5 linked regions of the Rattus norvegicus genome follow. The protein of the gene in region 3 interacts with the protein of the main gene of each other region in a biochemical or structural test. Links are inferred from orthologs where the notes say so. Each region holds a gene or a part of one and is shown on either strand. Other genes may lie near its edges. The genes, in order: Plcb1, Ric8a, Gnaq, Rgs4 and Grk2.

The links.
Region 1: the proteins of Gnaq (region 3) and Plcb1 form a complex in vitro, tested with the Homo sapiens proteins (2 studies listed by BioGRID, with this or other methods). The link is inferred for Rattus norvegicus from reciprocal best matches to the Homo sapiens genes GNAQ and PLCB1.
Region 2: the proteins of Gnaq (region 3) and Ric8a form a complex in vitro, tested with the Homo sapiens proteins (2 studies listed by BioGRID). The link is inferred for Rattus norvegicus from reciprocal best matches to the Homo sapiens genes GNAQ and RIC8A.
Region 4: the proteins of Gnaq (region 3) and Rgs4 form a complex in vitro, tested with the Homo sapiens proteins (3 studies listed by BioGRID). The link is inferred for Rattus norvegicus from reciprocal best matches to the Homo sapiens genes GNAQ and RGS4.
Region 5: the proteins of Gnaq (region 3) and Grk2 form a complex in vitro, tested with the Homo sapiens proteins (3 studies listed by BioGRID). The link is inferred for Rattus norvegicus from reciprocal best matches to the Homo sapiens genes GNAQ and GRK2.

Annotation. Positions count from the first base shown.
Region 1 is NC_086021.1:143,089,758-143,093,271, reverse strand, and holds part of Plcb1 (1-phosphatidylinositol 4,5-bisphosphate phosphodiesterase beta-1), read right to left. Parts: intron 2,882-3,514; coding exon 2,717-2,881; intron 2,031-2,716; coding exon 1,931-2,030; intron 755-1,930; coding exon 650-754; intron 1-649.
Region 2 is NC_086019.1:205,363,471-205,367,602, reverse strand, and holds the start of Ric8a (synembryn-A), read right to left. Parts: upstream 2,808-4,132; 5' UTR 2,577-2,807; coding exon 2,493-2,576; intron 2,304-2,492; exon of another isoform or gene 2,205-2,303; coding exon 2,157-2,204; intron 2,068-2,156; coding exon 1,477-2,067; intron 1,181-1,476; coding exon 1,089-1,180; intron 618-1,088; coding exon 467-617; intron 1-466. Other genes in the region: Bet1l (BET1-like protein), read left to right, coding at 3,811-3,829.
Region 3 is NC_086019.1:222,939,448-222,942,961, reverse strand, and holds part of Gnaq (guanine nucleotide-binding protein G(q) subunit alpha), read right to left. Parts: coding exon 3,335-3,514; intron 3,329-3,334; exon of another isoform or gene 1-3,328.
Region 4 is NC_086031.1:84,469,090-84,472,895, forward strand, and holds the end of Rgs4 (regulator of G-protein signaling 4), read right to left. Parts: intron 3,518-3,806; coding exon 3,351-3,517; intron 2,935-3,350; coding exon 2,695-2,934; 3' UTR 504-2,694; downstream 1-503. UniProt on the Homo sapiens protein: Inhibits signal transduction by increasing the GTPase activity of G protein alpha subunits thereby driving them into their inactive GDP-bound form. Activity on G(z)-alpha is inhibited by phosphorylation of the G-protein.
Region 5 is NC_086019.1:211,009,755-211,014,023, forward strand, and holds the end of Grk2 (beta-adrenergic receptor kinase 1), read right to left. Parts: intron 4,135-4,269; coding exon 4,068-4,134; intron 3,777-4,067; coding exon 3,676-3,776; intron 3,021-3,675; coding exon 2,954-3,020; intron 2,875-2,953; coding exon 2,779-2,874; intron 2,521-2,778; coding exon 2,358-2,520; intron 2,211-2,357; coding exon 2,074-2,210; intron 1,985-2,073; coding exon 1,871-1,984; intron 1,792-1,870; coding exon 1,627-1,791; 3' UTR 505-1,626; downstream 1-504. UniProt on the Homo sapiens protein: Specifically phosphorylates the agonist-occupied form of the beta-adrenergic and closely related receptors, probably inducing a desensitization of them. Key regulator of LPAR1 signaling.

The sequences.
Region 1 (3,514 bases), on a different chromosome or scaffold from region 3:
TTTGTCTATCCCAGCAATGGCCTTCACACTTGGCTTAGTTGGTTAAATGTGTTTCATAGACTCTTCCCATAAAGTCTGTCTTCCAGATTATTAGAACAACCCAAAGATTGGCAATTTGAGTGTCATGTGCATGGCAATGGCTAGGTAGAGACAGTTATAGCTGTCCATCTTTGGGCCAGAAATATGCGTTCCAAGTTTGTCACAGTGTCTGCCAATGGCCAGTATCTTCACTCCCAGGACCCATGGTAATTAAAACAAACCAAACAAAGCAAAAAACAAACAAATCATTTTAAAATGTTAACTTCTGGTTAAGTTAATTCCTGTTAATTTAGAACTCCATCCATAGAATTGACTAGAGATCTGCTACGAGCGAAGGCAAATTCACTGTACAGACCTAGATTAACAACAGTGGAAGGGGCAGCAAGGGTTGGGGAGTGTTTTTTCCTACAGGGATAAGACTGCCTATGTAGAAATAGACTAAACACTGAAAGAGTAGGATTCTAATGGACATGGAGAGGCTCAAATGACTGACCGTTAAGCATCTACACACAAGAAGTTGTGCTTATGAGGCCCACAGTGCCCCAGCATTGGCCCAGTTGGCCTTCCATCCAGCCATGGAGATGCAGATGACCCAGGTAGCACTGTTTACCTGCATACGTGTCTGGGACATAGTCTTTGACTTCTATGTAGACAAAGACAGCTGGCAGCATCAGGGGCTGGTTCCTCTCATTCCGCAGGCAGATGTAGTGATAGCCTGCAGGGAGACAAGGACACCAAGTGTCATCTGTTGGTTTCACAATGCTAGCTATATCCATTCATACCCATGGTGCTCGACAAACAGTCCACTCCCTTCTCAGCTTAATCACACAATTTGAACACTGCTGACTCTGTTTTTATTTTTGTTTTTTTTTTTTCTGTTCTCACCACATTTCCCCTTCCAAACTGTATGCTCCAGTGGTCCAAATTATTGGTCCAAATGTGTCTTCTATAATAAGTCATACTTGACATGGTTTCATGACTGGGGATCTGTTTTGTCCATGAGACATTAGTGGTTTGGGGCAAGCAAAGAATGAATGCACACATGTTGAGTTAGGCACCTTTAATATCCTTGTGGGTTAGGAAAAGGAAATCCCTAGATTGGATGCCACCACTACTTCAGCATGCACCCCAAAATGAGCACACATGGAACAATAATGAACCCAAATGGCACCCCAAAAGCACAACTATGCCACTGAGCTCAGGATAGCCCAGTCAATTTTTATACTGTGGCCAATGTGCTTGGTCTTCCATGAGCTCAGGCTATTCCAGTCGATCTTTATTCTGTGGCTTTACCACACAGGCTCCCATGTTGGAGGCTGTGGGATCATCCAGCTGCTCCCCTCTGCACAGCTGGAGTCATAGGCCTGTGCTACTTGGTCTTGCCAGAGATGGTTTCTGAGAGATAGTCTCATTAAAAAGACTGAGTGTGACCTTACCTAGTTCTCTGGTTTCCTGTCTGGTGAGGTGACCCCTCACCCCCACTTCCTCTAGCAAGCCTCCACTATTAGGCGTTGACCAGAGGAGAAGTTGATGAAATGATCAGATTGTGACCTTGGTAGCTTTCCGGACTGAGTGAAATAAACTTCTTTTCTTTATAAAGTAGTCTGAGTCAGGTATTTTCATTATAGTAGTAAAAAGAAGCTAATACACAGTACTAACCCACGAGACTCATGAATCGGGACCCGTGACTCATGCATGTGAGCTTCCAAGCAGCTTGTTACACATGTATTACAATCAAAGTTGGCTTTGACAACACAGCACCATGACAAACATACACAACTACCAGACTGATTGGAACAATTCTTACGCCCCCACCATTCAGCACAATCACAGAGGAGCAACAGCTCCTAAGTCATTGTTTAATGGAAATCTCTCACCACATTATGCATACCTGGCCGAATTGCTTGCACAGGCAAGATCCGGTGGCCAATAAATTTGCCTCCTTCCTCATATGCTGCTATCCTTAAACAGGCCAGAGAAGGCAGAACTACCTGTGGGGATAGAAAGGATTCTGGTTACAAGAGTAAGCAAACCCTAGAAAGAACTAGAGAAGTACTAGAAAAACTGTCCCTGCTTTTCCCAAAGCTGAGTATCTACTCAGTCAATTTAAGTAAAAAGTTAAGTTGCCTCTCTGTGAAATAAGAAAAGACACGGGACTGCATTTGGGTGTCCCTCTGTGCTTAGTACCATTTGAGGAGCATTGAACGAAAGGGTACCTGTTATTACACATACATCATTAATGAGGAAAGTTCCACGAACTCAGATAGAGGGTCACATCATTACTCGTGTAGGTTTTCACAGGAAATGATTGTGATATATTAAATCAATACCTAAAAATAGGAGCTGGGAATAAGTCTCGGAGGTTAAGAATATTTGTTGCTCTTGAAGAGAATTCAGGTTCAGTTCCTAGCACCCACACAGCAGCTTACAAGGGTCGATAACTCTATTTGTAGGAGCCCTACCTGGCTCTTCTGATATCCTAGGCACCAGGATGTGCTGCACAAATTTATACACAGGGTAGACATTTATACAATTAAATAATGCTAAATACTAAAAAATAAAATTAAAGCCTTTATGATAACCTCCAAAATGCACCCATAACCAAATAACTGCTTTGTTTTTCCTCTGTTTAAAGCACCCAGAAAAATTTGCCTCTCACAGCAAGCATGAGACCCACCTTTTTGAATACAATTGGCTCTTCTTCCCAGACAGGATTTACAGCATTTCCTTGGGATGTCTTGGTTTTAAATGCCTTCCTTCTTGTGTCCACAGGCAAACCAAACATATCCACTTCCACATAAGTCCCAACTTTCTTATCAGAGAGAAACTGACCTGAAATAATCTAGAAAATATCAAGAAGTCTTGAGCCATGAGTAACAAAGCATCGGGGGACAACTCTAAGGTGGTCCAAGAGTTTCCTGAGTGGGAAATCGTACGATGAAATACAAGGAAGAATAGAAATGCCATTGCTCTTCCACTTAAGGAGTTGATTGAGGAGACTGAGAATGGGGAGGTTAGTAGCCAATCAGATGAAGTAGAATGGGAGCAATAAATGAATAGCATCCTTGGAAGTCACCGAGTAATCATGACCTCTCTCCTCATCCAGTTTGCCATCTGCAGAACTGTGGGCCTCCGTTGTCTAGCTAAATAATTAGTCTGTGTCATATTGTTAAGTAAGAGTTAAGTCTACATATTCCTATAACAGTTCCCATGTTTTAGTCTAGCTATAATCTAGTCATCAATATCTTGGGGACCTGCCATAAAGGTTAATGGACACAATAACCGTGGACCACTCAGCGAGATTCCCAGGTTCCTGCCTCCCTGACTCCTTCAGAATCTCTGACCACATCAGCAGGGTCTTTGTCCTTTCTTGGCTCCCACCACTTATGCTCCTGCCGCTGGGCTGGATTTCTCATCCAAACATCATCTTCGAAGTCCTGTCCCTGTCTGTCATGGGTGAGCTCAGAACACTGCT
Region 2 (4,132 bases), about 18 Mb from region 3:
TGGTCTACAGAGTGAGTTGTAGGACAGCCAGGGCTACTGTCTCAAAAAAAAAAAAAAAAAACATAAAAAATAAAAAATGCAGAGGGACAAAACTGATGTCACCTCTGGCTGCCTATATATAGAAACAGTTGGAGGCTGAGGGTCACAAGCAAGAACCAAAGGCTTCTGAGAACCACTTAACAGGACCACAGAGACCTAAAAGGTAACTGTCACCTTAGTAGACCCTGAGAGGCTTGTTTTTCTTTGGTAATCAGCAGCAGCAGGGTTCACACACATGGTGTGTCCGCAAGCTTCTGAGAGGACCTGACTGAGCGGCCACCATCTAGCTATACCACGGAGAATCAGAAGACCTGTCCTGGATATACCATCAAGCTGAGCTCTACTTGCCAGTACCAATGGTGCAGAAACAGTAGCCATAACTGGTACCCAAGCCCCTGGGCATCCACATAGCAGGTCCCCCTCCTACCTGGTGCAGACGCTTCTCTAGGAAGGCAAGGAGGGCATTGATCACATCCATATTAACTCCCATAAACTCTAAGGATCCTTCGTGTAGCTCCAGAGCGAGAAGGACATCCAAACATTTGAGGGGCAGGTTCCCCAGGAGATTCACGGTGTGGCTGGGGACAGACAGAGGCCTTGACACAGTAACCATATTTAGCACAGATACAATCCCTGGCCCTTCTCCTGGGGTACACATGATATGTGGGCCCGAAGGATAGCACTGAGGCAAGGGCAGTTGGTACCCCAACTCGAGTTTGGTGGGGAAACACTGTAGACTCTATCTGCACCATTCTGTCTGAGCTGAGATGCCAAGCAATCTCTCAGTTTCGAGAGACTGGCTGAGGCACCAGCAAGAGACCATGCGGCCTCCACCTAAGGCCCTGTCTCTAAGTTCAAAACTCTTCTTAGTCATACCCTGAGTTCCCTAGGCTCTCTGAAAACACACCGGGATCCCGTTCCCCATGATGTCACACTCAAAGGTGGGGCCCGGGCTCCCAGGTGCTTGAGTCACAGCTAGGGTTAAGGACTTCTGTACCCATACCTAGGCAACTCCTGCCATCCCCAACATAGTAAGTCCTGCTCCTCACCCATGGAACTCCTCTGTGCGGTCTCCAGCAGCATCAGCCATCACACAGTGCCGCAGAAGGGTCCCCAGGTACCGGTAAAGGGCAGCGTCCTCCTAGCCAAAGACGGAAAGGGGCTCCCGTGAGAATAAGACCCTATTCTTATGACCCAAGGCCACATGGTGATCACTAGGCCCTGTCCACAGCACACTTGGTCACCTGAAGCATTATGGAGAATACCCGTCCCCAGCCCCATGCACAACACAGCTCAGAAACCTTGAGTTCCTGCCTAGATTGTCCTCTAGTCCTTGCCATATCCGACACCCTGCAACTTGAGGCACACAGGGAAGCAAACCCACAAAATGCCCCAGCTGAGCTGAGTCCCACCCATTGACTTCAGACTACAACCTACCTCATCAACCTCCCTCTTAACAGAGTCGTAGGTGATGTTAAAGAGCACTTTGAGGATTTCCATGGCCCGCTCTGTCTCTTGGGCTGGAAGTATCACCAGAGGGTTTTCTTTGGGGGCCACACCCAATGTCAGTTCCAGCGCATCGGTCAGCAGGCGCACGCCATGCAGCTCCTGAAACAGCTGCTGGCGCACATCAGTGCGAAGGGCTGTTAGCAGGAAAAGGAGCCTTAAGTCAAAGAACTGGACTTCGTGGGGATAGCTCCTTTTGCGGTACAGTCCCACACGTTCCGCTAGCCTCACCACCAGTCGAGCCTCTGCTGCTAGCATCTGTGCTGTAGGACTGCTGAGCACAAGATTACACAGGCATTTGAGAGACTCGAGGAGGACATCCATGTCTGGGGGCTGTGGGATGGGCTCCTCTGAGATGGCAATGTCGGCATAGCAGGCTAGTGCGTGTAAACTCTGGCGGCTAGCAAATGAGTCCAGGCAGCTGCGGTCTCGGGATAGGATTCGGATAGTCTGCAGCCAGGTGACACGGTGTTTTGGTGACAAGCCCTGCTCCAGTACGGAGACCAGCAGCTTTGCGAGTCTCTGTGGGAAGGGACAAAAATGGTTCCACTAGGCCCTCTTCTTGGGGCAGCCCGTGCTTGCCCTAGGAACCCCCTTGGGCTGACACCTACCTTCCTGTCCTCCTGCTGTGCATCATCGAAGGTGAAGCTCTGGGAATGCTGCAGGGAGACCCAGGAAGCTCAGTTCCACACGCAGGTAGGACCTGTGCTCCTCGAGAAGCAGCAGGTCTGCTTCTACCTCTGAAGCAGCAGCCATCGCTGTGTACGTAAAGCAAGGCCCACCCTCGCCACCCATACACCTGACTACCACAGAGGCACCGCCGTGGCCCAGCCCACCACCCACCGCCCTGCTCCCTGCCACACTCGCACGCACACCCCAGCCGAGTGGCGAGCAACCGGCTGCTTCCTCACTTCCTGCAATTTCCTCGGCAGCTGGATGCCTCTCACCTCTCGGTTAAACGACCGCAGAGCTTCTGTCACCGCATCTTCCTCTCCCGTCTCCAAGGCATCCGCAACTGCCCGGGGCTCCATGGCCCCTGGCACGGGGTGCTAGAAGACTTGGGCTGGGAAGACGCAATCGGCCAAACCCGGGGACTCCGCCCAGGTCCGGAAGCCCAGCGTCCACGCGTGAGGAATGCTGGGAGAACAGCCGAGCCTAGGGTGTGTACAGGCGCGGGGCTGGCCTCCGGCTTAAGGTGGAGCAACCCGGCTGTGGCCGCTGAGCGGCTTGTCTTGGAGCAGCGATGCTAGCTAACTAAGCAGTATCCTCCTTTTGAGCCCTTCTCTCTAGCCCGACTTCCTGGCGGGCGGGGGTGGGGAGTGGGGTGTGGCTTGGCCGGCGCGTAAACCTTTCTCCTTACACTCTTGTTCCCGTACTGTGATAAAAGAGGGAGCGCCGGCTCCTGGCCGCTTAGTCAGTTGGGGAAGACGATTCTCGCGGTCATCTTCCTGATGCTCATCTTCCACGGGAAATAAGGAAAGAGAAGTACGACTTGGATGGTCAAAATAATGTACGTGGTTAGCCGGGCATAGTAACGCACGCTTTTTTAAATTTCAGCACTCGAGAGGCAGAAACGGGCAGACCTATCTAAAAACAATCAAAAAACCAAACCACCAAAATAATGTGGTTATCAAAAGAAAAGGGCAATTGCAGAGTGTATGAGGAAGGATCGGAGAGAAGGAAGTGAAGAACACCGGTGGAAAAGCGACTCCCGCGGGAGGAGCAACGGAGGGGCGGCTAGCCGCGGCGTGTCTGGGGTTAGAAGCGTAGGAACGTTGTATAGTGGGGAGCCAGGTCTGCATGCCACTTAGCTTAAGGCAGAGTCGGTGCACCCCACGGTGACACAAGCAATGTTCCAGAGGATAATGCCGCCCGCTGTGCTAACCGGCGCTTGCCTCTACTCAGTGTCAGGTCCTTTGCCAGTCTCTTTCGCTTCTGCTCGTCCTCCCCATCCTGTCGTTCTCACTTGGGGACTTTGCAGCGCCCGAGGTACCCGACCCTCGGCTCCAGGTTGGGGTCTGAGCTCCTGCTCCGGGTAATACCCACAGCGCGGGACTAATACTGCTGACCAATCCGTAGGCCCGAATGCTGGCGGCCCGCCCTTCCCTTATTTACATTCCAGTGTAGAACTACAAGTCTGTTTCTTCCGCTTCAGACTCTTCTCCCGGAAGTTATTAGACCTGAGGCGGAACCGGAAGACCCAGGTAGTGGTGCCACGTCCGTCGCTGTGTTGCCTACTCCCCGAGTGGGACCTCGGAAGGCGCGATGGCAGATTGGACTCGAGGTGAGCGCACCTGAAGGTAGTTGGGATAGGAGGCAAGGTCTAAGTCTGGAGTACGAGCCATCAATTTTTCCTCGGTGGAGGGATCTGCGTGGGATGGCGCTTACGTATTCCAGGAAAAACAGGGCCAGATTTCAACTGGCACTGCCTTGGAACCCAAGCCGGCATGACATCAGTTTGTGTGTATGGTTGATGCCAAGGGCTGGAAGCAGAAGGTCCAAGCAGGGACTTACAGGGCTCAAGTGCCTCGTTTCACACACACCCTCCGCCCCCGTGCCTGTGTTCAGTCTGACAGTTGTGATACTG
Region 3 (3,514 bases):
CCAGTGCCAGTCTATTGTTGCACTCTTTCCTCACTTCAGTCCTCTCCTGTCTGTTTTAAAAGAGGGATCAGCACAAGGGAACTATCAGAAGGGACTTCAGATTGTCTAGTTCATCACCTGCTTTAATTTCTTAAGACTGCTTTAGAAAATGCCACATGCTCAAATTCCCTCCTGTTGTGAACGTGTCCAGGTGAGGAGTGCTCTGTGCCCCTTTCGGCATCCCATCCCAACAGCCATCACTCCAAGGATTGCTTTCCTCTACTTGACACTGCCAAAAAGTGTAAAGGTATTTCCCGTGTATTATCTTTTGAACTTTGAAACCATCTTATTATTTGTCCCACTCCCACACATGAGAAAATTCAGGCCTAGAAAATTCAGGCCTAGACTATGAAGAAATGAAGATATCTTAACAAATGTAAAGACTGCCAGATTCTTTGGCTTTTCCTTGCTAGGACTCAGATGCTGGTATGGAGTCACTGCAGAGCAAACCGAGAGCAGATAGCTGTCACTGAGTCAGTAGCCTCTTTAAGTCCCTTCCCACCCTGTAACTCAGAGTAAGTCCAGAATAAGAAATTTTATTTTAGGGTAAATGCTAAGTAAACTCAGAGGACTTGCATCTACAGAGAGTTCACATGTCATTCCATGTTATAAATCGACTGTGCACTTTTGTAGTAGACATTTGTGAGCTGGGCCAGAATTGTTCTCCTTTTTCCACTAGCAGTACCCAGATTTCCCCCAGGGACTGTCAATCACATTGACCAGACTTCCTTCCCCTGTCTAAAGAACTAGCAAAGAATCCAGACTCAGCCAATCCAACACTTTTTCCCAGGAATTCGAATCAGGAGTGAGTGCTGAAAGATTGAAATGGGCTGAAGTTCATCTCTCCCAAGCACAGTCCTTCAGCTTCTCAGGCCTCCTGTGAGCTCACGCCTCAAAAGTTTTCCTCTTCTTCCTCATCCAGTGGTTGGTTTCTACAGCCTACAAAATCTTTGGCTCCCCTCACTTTTTGACAGGCAAACCAAAACAGCAGACTGTGGGTTCTGTTTATTACACAGGTGGAAATTCCTCAATGCAATCAGTGTGTGGTCATTCTGTGAACTAAGAAAATTCCCTTGTTTTTGTTTTGTTTTGTTTTTAAGTAGCAATTTCTTATTGAGTTGATCAAAGACAGGAATAATATAGCCTTTAGAATTTTGGCTACTTTTCCTGGAAAATAGCATTGAAGATGTTGAATTTTTTTTAAAGAAAATACAAAAAATTAGAATAATTTAAACATCTTTAACAAATGCTTACATCTTAGGAGTGGATATATATATATATATTCATTCACTAAGCAAGAGAATGAGGGCTGGAGTATGTCCCTGGTACCATTCTCATTTGCCTGACGCTCATCAATTAGGCTAGCTGGCTGGCTAAGGAGTCTTTGGATCCTCCCGTCTTTGTATCTCCAATGCTGGGATTACATGCCCATGTAATAATGCCTCAGCATGTTTAGCTCAATTCTGAGGAAAGAACTTAGATCTTGAGGCTTACACGGTAAGTGCTTTACTGACTGAATCATGCCCCCAACCCTAATGAGGTACTTTCCTGTAACATGTCCTTCTTATTCTTAGCACTTATTGGTCCACTTAAGTTTCCCTCCACTCCAAATGAAAAGGAAAACCGGGTGTCATAGTGACAGCCTGTAGCTACTTAGGCAAAGGGAGCTAAAGACTGGTTGCTAAATGAGCCATCAGAACTCCAAAGACCAAACTTAGAGCCTAGGTAAGGGTGAGTATCCTTGTCAGAAAAGCTTGCACCAGAAACATTCTAGAATGCAGAGCTTTTACATATGGTAACACATGCATATACACAAGTCTCTGTGAGATGAGGCTGAAATCTAAACTAAAATTCACTTGTTTTTCATACTCATAGCCTAGTAGCACATTTTTTAGTAATTTTACTGAATTTAGACAGGGAAGGAAAGACTGAATCCTGCAAGCTATCCTTTGTCCTCCACATGATGAGATCTTAGATTTTCAGATCAAGGATGCTCAAACTATAGAATGAAAAGAAACTGAACTTGTCAGCATGAAGGTAGCACAGACTGAGTCCCCACTATCATTCCTTTTCATGTAACAGCGCCATATCAGCTGCTTTCCTCCTACAGCAACCGGCAATGGACAGACTGTAGATACTTCTGCTCTGCCTTACAGAAATCACAAATCAGCTGCACAGGGATACCAGGATCCTATCGGCAAAAGCCTCTGCTTTGTCCCTGTTTTGCTGTGGGGGGGAAATACTCCCAAAGAGCATGCTTGCTTCCTGAGACGGAGGAGACAATGCATGACATATGAAATACTACAACAGAAATACAGGAAGAACACCATCTGCCAAATTCAGGCCTTCTTTACCACGCTGCAATTCCAGACAGTTCCCTAGCCATGCTAATACAGAGGCACACTATCGCTTCCTTTTTATTAATAATCAAATTCTAGACCAAGACAGAGAGTGTAATCAGAAGAACATATCTGTGTAAGATGAATGAAATTCGTCCTTTTAGAAAGAACTAAATAAAGAACTTGTCTCGTGGTCCTACACTTTACATAAGCAGGCTTCAATAAATGACAATCTCTTTTATCGTTGGCTATGAACACGTATTCAGAGAGAAGACAAGATGGTATTTATAAATAAACTCTTTACCACTGTTTGTTCAAAAGAAATCCAAAAACATGTGCTTCCTCAGTGTGGGGTGGGTTGAAGCCCCTCACCATTATATAAACTTGCTTTTTTAGTCAAGAACTCCCAAGGACTGAACAATGGATACCTACACTCAAGGAAAAATGAATCAGAGTTTGGTAAAAGTGTGCAACTTACTGAAATGCATTACAAGCCGCTTCCTAAGTTTAGAATCCTTAGAAAAGAGTGAGGCTTATAAAAAGACACACAGTGCCATGCCATCTGGTCCACAGCTCCCTCCACAACCAGTGAAACTTCTCATTCAATGAAGCAACACTTGGGCAGTATTAAAGGAAATTCCAGTGTTGCTGTGGCACTCCAAAAAGATAGAACCACTTTTGCAACTGTGAACAATTTTCTATTATCAAACAGGCCAGGTAATAGTTAAAGTCTTTTCTTTATAACATAAACAATCCAATAAGGTGAAGAGTGAGAGAGGAAGACACTTCTAGCCTCCATAAGCCAGCATCTGTGTATCCATCCATACAGGGAGGGGAGGGAGAGGAGATGAGGTCATAAGGAGAGGGGAGGGGATAAAGTACATTCCAAATACCCACGGTCCACTCTAGAAGGGTTTAGACCCCACAGTGGCAACTGTTATAATGAGTCCACTTACCTTATTGTGTTCATACTTGTATGGGATCTTGAGAGTGTCCATAGCTCTGATCATGGCCTGCATGGCTGTAAAGATGTTCTGATACACCAGTTTGGTAAAGCCCCTCTTGTCTTCATCAGAGTACCCCGACCCGTGGATGATCCTCATCTGCTTAATGAAGGTACTCTTGCCACTCTCCCC
Region 4 (3,806 bases), on a different chromosome or scaffold from region 3:
AGTCACCCTAAGACTTGAGAAGTCGAGGTAGGAGGATCTCCATGAATTTGAGCCCAAACTAGTCTTCACAGTTAAGTTATAACCAGTGGAGGACAGCCTGAGTGAGACCCCATTGGTTACTGTTGTTGATCTGGTTTCTTTTCTTATTCTGATATTTTTGTTTTTTGGTGGTATTGTTTTGTTTCGTTGGGGTTTTTTGTTTGTTTGTTTTATTTTGTTTTAGTTTGGGGTATTTTCTCCCCCCAACCAAATTGAAGATCTGCAGTACACTAAAGTTGCCTAGTCTTCAAACCTAGAACAGCCAGGGACCTGGGAGCAGAAGCAGGCAGAACAGTGAAAGGGGCCTAAGCCTAAACAATACAACTTCTACTTTCCTTTCTGGAGTTGGCAGGGGAGGGATAGAAGACTCCCTGTGAGTCATTTTGTAAAGGCATCCTATGCCCCGCTGTTTCTCACGGCATTGCCTCTCTGGATCATTAATGTGTTTCCAAGCAGATTGTTTTGTAGGAAGCATTTATTTCCTGTTATCATTCAGATCTATGTGTTTCATTGGAAGCATCAGCGCTGAGGCCTATAAAGCACATGGCAGAAACAGACATGCATCTGGAAGGAGCGTCCTTTGCAGGGGCCAGCAGCAGGCAGGCTCGCCAGACCAAAGAGCGATGGCAAATACAACTGAAGACACACTCAAGATGTATTACATAAAATAATTTACTTCTCATTCAGAATGACTTTTCCCAGACCTATTTGTGAGACAGCAGTCTGGGAGTACAGGTACAATCTCAAAGTCATGATAATATTAGGGCAAGACCGGAGAGTTATACAGACACGACTGTGGACTTGTGTATTACAAAAAGGAGTTAGGACCACTGATGGGGGAGCTCTGGGGATATTATACGCAAGACTGTCAAGAGAGACAACAGTACTGTTAGAAAACTGACTTCTTCAATAATGGTGAGACTTGGATTCACACTATGAGTGTCTTCACTTTGCAGCCACAATGGTGCTCATGCATGGAATTTAAACTGGAGCTGTGCCTGCAGTATGCACGAGTCTGTGTGCGCTCTCAAAGGCAGGACTTTTAGAGGAATGAGAAGAAAATTACTTCTTGGGCATTCATTAATAATTCGGGTAATATCCTGTACCTCCATTTATAAAACAATACAGTAATAAAAACATTGTACAAAACAACATAAATAACACAAATGAGAAATTTTCAAGTATTTCACGTGCCTTAAAAAGCTCCAAACAGTAGTCCTACCAACTGATATCCCGTCCTCCTCTTTTCTCTTCTCTTTCTTTTTTTTTTCTTTCCTCTCTCCTTCCGTTGGTCTCTGCTAACTTTGGTGTTTGGGATGGGATGAACAAGCTCTTACCTCAAAGCAGAAAACCAAAAAGGGGTTTACAGCTCATAAGAGCTTACTTCCTCCTGGGACAGCATAACCTTTCCCCCTGGTGATGCTTTTGAAAAATGTAAGCGGGTAGCTTAGAATGACTTGCAGGTGGCCATGGTTCCTAACGTGAGCAACCAACCACGGGGAAGTAAAGAGGCTCATCTGACAGGTGACGTTCTTTGGGGGTAGGAATAGGAGAGCACCTTATCAAGAGAGGAAAGAATTAAGATAACCTCGGGGTCTTCTGCCCTCACCTAAGCAGTAGTCATTTGTAGGGCTAGGCAACAAGGCCTGGACCGCATTCCTTCATTCCTCTCAAACATCCATCTCCAGACCAACCCAGCTGCTAGTCAGCATGCCCTGAGCACCCAGGCAAAGGAGGGATGGCCAACAGCATAGGGACTTAAAAGTGCTAGTAGTAATCACCGGTGCGAGGCAGCTCTGTGTCAGTCAGACAGCAGAGTTTTCGGAGTACTCACCCCATAGCTCAGTGCTCAATGTGGAGGCCATTGACGAGATTAAACACAAAGGCCCTGACTATGCTCCATCAAGACCCAGTGGCTTGACGGAACTCACTTTTTACAAGTTAGTGTTCCTTTCTTAGCCTGCATGGCAGTTAATTTAGTTTGCCCTGTTCAGACACAGTATGAAGGACCAGAAGTCAGAACATGCATGCAAGCATGTGTACACACTCCAATTTGAGCACCAAGGATCTTTCCCATCTTTTCTTGAAGAAATGTGTGTGCATGTGTGAACATATACAAATATATATATGCATATATATATATATTCATGCACATTCACACATACTGAATACATAGATATAATATATACAGAATGTATATGCATATGTTCTATATATTTAATATATACATACACATACACAAATATCACCTAAACGTTGAAAGTCTGTAGGAAGTGCTGCTGGCTGACATTGCATGTGCATGTGACATCACATGAAGTGTACCAACTAACTTGAGGTCAAACTGTTGGAAGGGGTGGACTACTAACCATCTTTGAAAATCCAGACCTACAGGGCCATTATTTGGAGACTTGCTCACCTGACACCCTTTAAGGAAACTTGGGAAAATTGAAAACAAGTTGGGTCTTACCCCAATGAAAACCCCCACACCACAGCTAAGTCTAGTTTTACATGGAAGTGACTCACACACGGCAGGCAGCATGGATACTAGGCTACAATGTGGAGAAAGCATTGATGCTTAATACAGATCAATATTTGGCCTCAGGTTTTCCAGAGCATAGAGTCTTGGCATTTCGGTTCTCTGCCTCTGTGTGAGAATTAGGCACACTGAGGGACTAGGGAAGTGCAGTCTGCAGAACTCTTGGCTCCTTTCTGCTTCTCTGCCCCGCAGCTGGAAGGATTGGTCAGGTCAAGATAGAATCGAGACTTGAGGAAACGACGGTATGAATCCTTTTCCATCAGGTTGAAAATCTTCTTCTGGGCTTCATCAAAACAGGTTATCGTGGGCTCTAACATGTTCCGGCTTGTCTCCTCTCTGGTGCAAGAATCCAGGTTCACCTAAAGTGCAAAGACCAAGGTTGCATTAGAGCTAGAGCTCTGTTGAAGAGAGGAGGCTTACATTCAAAAAGGAGTAGCCAGGACCCTTTCTTTACCTTCCTCCCAGGAGTGAAACCCGGGACATTTGGGTGTGCCCTGGCATATGTGTATAAAAGGTCAGCTCTGCCCTGAAGTGGAAAGAGCACTTCCCTTTCCTTTACTCTCTCATTTGAGAGATTTATAATTATATTTATTAAGGAGAGTCATTGAGATCACATAGACAAAATGGCTTTTTTCCTAATAGACTTACTTGAAATGTCAAGATTATAATAGCCAGTCCTATTGCTCCTTTAGTAGATCTAAAGATTTCTGCCCCTGAATGCCTCTCCTATGAATTCCCACTAAGATCTAGAAAGTTCTCTGCCATGGAAACATACCTCTTTTGTTGCCTGCACAGAGATGAACTCATTGTAGATCTTCTTGGCCTTGGGACTTAGTTTAGAAGGTGATTTGATTTTCTTGTACTCCTCACAGCTGATCCAGAAGTCAATGTTCTCCTCACTGTATTCTGACTTCAGGAAAGCTTTGAAAGCTGCCAGTCCACCTGTGACAAAGGACAAAGAACCAAAGTTACCCAGAAATGGCTTGTCTTATGCTGAGTAATACTATCCTCAGTGTGTGTGTGTGTGTGTGTGTGTGTGTGTGTGTGTGTGTGTGTGTGTGTGTATGTGGTGCATGAGTGTGTGTGTGTGGTGCATGAGTGTGTGTGTGTGGTGCATGAGTGTGTGTGTGTGGTACATGAGTGTGTGTGTGTGTGTGTGTGTGTGTGTGTGTGTGTGTGTGAGATAAATGATGACAGAGAGAAAGAGAGAGAGGGGGGGGGTATGGTTACT
Region 5 (4,269 bases), about 12 Mb from region 3:
TCATCCAAGACCCCACAGTATCTGCCCCAGAACTGTCTCCTCTGTGCACTGAACAGGGAGGACAGTGGTGCTTACATGTTGTCACTGGCTGCAATGGCCTGGAGCAAAGACACAGGAAAAAGATAGTTCATTCTCAGGAAAGGTAGACTTGATGCTGAGGTACTCAAGCCCAGAGACCCCGGTACAGGTTACATAGTGAGGCCACAGAGAGAGCAATGCTAGACACAGTCAAAGGCCCAGAGATGCAGTGTGGAGGAGAAAAAGGGGATTAACGCAGTGCTTGATGTGCAGGGGGACTTGCTAAGACCAATATGTCCCCAGCTATTCCAAACATGACAGCTGACATGGACTACGGGCCACTCCTGCTTATCACTCCTGCTTATCTGGGAGGTGGACAGAATAGTCTACTCCTCTAGGGAGGGAAGGATGGTTACTAAGATCCTCTCCTTTCAGGCCCCAGACTGAAGTGACTGAAAAGTGGTCACCAGACACAAAGAGTCTGAGACAGCAAGGAGTCAGGCACCATTTTTTATAAAAACGCATAGTCTCATTTTCCACTCTTTAAAATCACATTCAAAAATCGGCAAAGAAACGCCCCAGGAGTGAGTAGACAATAGGGGAGGGTGCGCCCACCCAGCCCCAGAGGGAGAGGGCGCGACACCACACACAGCTGCGCGACTGGCACAAGGGGGCATGCGGTGGGCAAGGTGGCACCTGTGGATGGTGGCCACTGACATGACATGGGCTAGGGGGCTGGACAGTGTGGGTGGGGGCACACTGACCAGCCAGGACAGGGAGGGCCGGCCCCAGCTGGGTTCTTATGCTGTGCCACCCACCTGCCCAGGCTGTCCCACTGTGGTCCTGGGCAGATGAGCCTCACCCAGCCCAGAGTTAGGGATCTAGGTTCAGGCTAGGCCAGTGTGGCCCAACAATCTACAGTCGTTTTTCTATGCTCCTGAGTCCAGGCACGCAATGGGAAGAGGGGACTTGCAGGGAGGCCAGCAGCAGCCACTGCCAATGGCAGCCTCCTGATGAGGCAGGTGTCACACACAGGCTTTTCCTAAACAAGGACCCAGGAGCCCGTCACTGTGGGAGACCGCCAAGTCTGGGGAGACAAGGGCCTTCTCTCACCAGTGGCAAGAGGGCAGGACAGAGAGGTCTGTCCCTCTGTGGCATGGGAGCTATGATAGGAAAGTTCAAGTAGTATCCCTGTGTTGCACCTTCCTAGGGTAGGGGTGCTGGGCCACCCAGCTGGGCCTCAGGCTGAGTGTAGCCCACAGAGCCTGAAGTGACACACCCACCGACTGTGGCTTCACCCCATGGAGGGGCAAGAGGGCTGCTGAGGGTTGCTCCTCTTCCCAGTAGGAAGATACTGGGAGCAAGGACCCTAGGGGGATGCGGTGGGGGCGGGGCAGGGGTGCTAGACAGTGGCTGGGTTGGTGGCAGCAGGAGCTGAGGCAAGCAGGCCCCTCCCTGGGGGCTGGGCCAGGCTGGGGCCACAGGAAATCACAATAATTACAAAATAAAACCTTTTCCGCTTTGCGGGAAAACAAATAATAAAAATTCAACAAAATAAATTAGAGGTTTATAAAAGGCGGGTGGGCAGGCGGGCAGCAGATGGGTGAATCAGAGGCCGTTGGCACTGCCACGCTGAATCAGTGGCACCTTGCTCAGCTCCACCACAGGTGAGCGTGGCTTGTTCTTCATCTTGGGCACTCGCTGCACCAGCTGCTGGGCCTCACGGTAAGCATCGCGCAGCTCTTTTTTCCATTGCACCAGCTCAGGGTCACTCTGTACACATCCAGGCTGTCAGTCTCTGCTGGCACCCACCCACCCACCCGCACCCTAACCTCCCCTCCCCCGCTCTTACATCACACTGCAGGACAAACTGCTTGCCACCTCGGATCTTAAGCAGGAGACACTTGCGTTCCTTGATCTGTGTCTCTTCCACCGACTGGATCTCTTCCATGGTCAGGAGGCTCTGCTGCAAGGTGGGAAGACAGAGCAGGCTGTGAAGGAAGGCCCTGAAACCCACCCAGTACCCACACCACGTCCTAGCAGAACCTTTCTTACCGGAGCCTCGCCTTCACCCCTCCACTCAAGCCGGTTGGGGAACAGGTAGAAGTATCGCCGCTGCCACTGGGTCAGGAAGGGGTTGCCCATCTTGGACATGTAGCCATGCATGATGCAGTCCTTACCCAGGGCGTAGTCTGTACAAGAGATGGGTGCAGGCTCAATACCCCACCCCCACCCAGACACTTGCTGGCTGTGGTCTTGGTCAGTTTCTTAGCAGAGCCCGCTTCTCATTTCTGCAGTGTGCAACAGGCCGGGCTTCCCCCACGGTCTTAAGTCCTCACCCTCCTCGTGGCCCAGCTGTTTGTTTTTGGCTTTCTTCCGTGCCTCCAGCCGGTCTGTCTCAGCATTGATGGTATCAAAGACAGTCTCTGCCACCTCCTGTTGCCACCGCTCAGAGATGGTGAGAGGGAAGTTGCGGTACAGTTCCTGGTCACTGTCCAGTAACTTCACCAGGTGGACATGGCAGGAGCACATGGATAGACAAAGGGTGCCAGGACATTATCAGTCACAGGCCTGTGTAGGGCCCTAAGCTAGGGATCGTCTCATGAAACCACCCTCCCCAGGGAGGCTGGGGGATGGGGAAGTATGGCCCATGGCTCACAGGGTAGCCAGTGTCTCACAGGGGCAGAGAAGGGGCAAGGGCCATCCAGACCAGACCAGACCAGACCAGGTCCAGGGGTCAGGGCCAAGCAAGGTGCATACCTTGATTCCTTTTGTGTCCTCCTCATCAAAGGAGCCAATGTCAAAGGCGTCCGCTGCATTCACCTCCCCGCGTGGGGGGATCAGTGGAGGAGGGTACTGTGCAGAGCAGAGGCTGAGCATCAGCATGGGTGAGGGGCCATGGGGTTTCCCATCCTACCCCTGGATAGACTTTTACCTTCTGTAAGAAGACCATCTGCCAGTCCAGGGAACGGAAGAAGGGGCTTTCTTTTACCTCTTGAGCCCTATGGAGAAACACCCGTCACCTGGGCTCTGCACTACCCACGATGAGCTAGGTCCAAACTGTGGGGTCACCAGCTTAGGTCTGACTCCTGACTCAGCTACCTTTTGGTCTGTGACCTTAGGCAAGTTCTGGAACTCTCAGCCAATTTGCTCATCTCTAAATGGGAGAAGCAGCTCTCACATCCTGGGGTTGATGTGAGTTTTAATACTACTTTGTCTGATAATTAACAGATATCCCGGTAGACCTACAAAGTTGCTATTAAGCTGGGTGTGGTGGTACATGCCTTTAATCAGAGGCAGACGTGTTCAAGGCCAGCCTCAACTACAGAGTAAGACTAACCTGGCTTACATGAAACCTTGTCTCAAAAAATACCCTCCCCCCTATGCAAAAAAAAAAAAAATAGTCTTTGCTACAAAGATTTTCTCTGAACCCTTTGAAAGCCCATCCTCAGTTGATTCGAACTGTGACACACTCAGCTGCCCTGCTACCTTCAGGGCATAGGGCCATGACCTCCCTTGTGAGCTCCATGGAGGGGTTTAAATGAGGGGACACAGCCACTGTTCTAAGGGGGCACAGCCAGAGGCCAACCAGGCTGGTCCAACAGACCACAGCAAAGACTGAGGAAGTCCACATGGTGGAGAGGTCAGAATGCTCACCCACGGCCCAGACAGCCTAGTCTCCGATTGACATCCCTCTGCAGCAAACCTTCCAGCAGGGATCGGAGTTCAGGGGAGAAGGAGTCAGGCAGCTCAACAGCCTTTCAGGACAAAGAGAAGGAGGGTGTCAACAGAAGCCAGGAAGAGTGAGCCCTTGGTTCTGGGGGAGGGTGAGAGGCCAGCAGAAGGAGATGAGGCCCAGCTTCCTACTGGTTCTCACCAAGTGTGAGCTCTGACATCATAAACAAGGCAAGAGGCTACAGGGCAAGAAGCCTATCCCTTAAGGAAGGGACAGAGAAGGGATGACTGGCTCAAGAGCTCTGCTGGCTAGAGAGAACCAGGAGTTTATGCTTCTGGCATCACATGCACCTTCACTGCACTCTTACACTTACCATTGTCAATGTCATGCGGTCAATCTCATGCTTGTCTTTGGTCTTGTGCTGCCGGAAGGGGCTGTGTCTGGACAAGAGGTCAAAGACCAATGTCAAAAAACAAGAATGGGAAAAGTGAGGAAGAATGATGGATGAGGCTGGTAAGAGATAAGGGAGGCTCCACCTCTAATACCCAGGCCATAGAGGGCTCCCCTCTACGCTA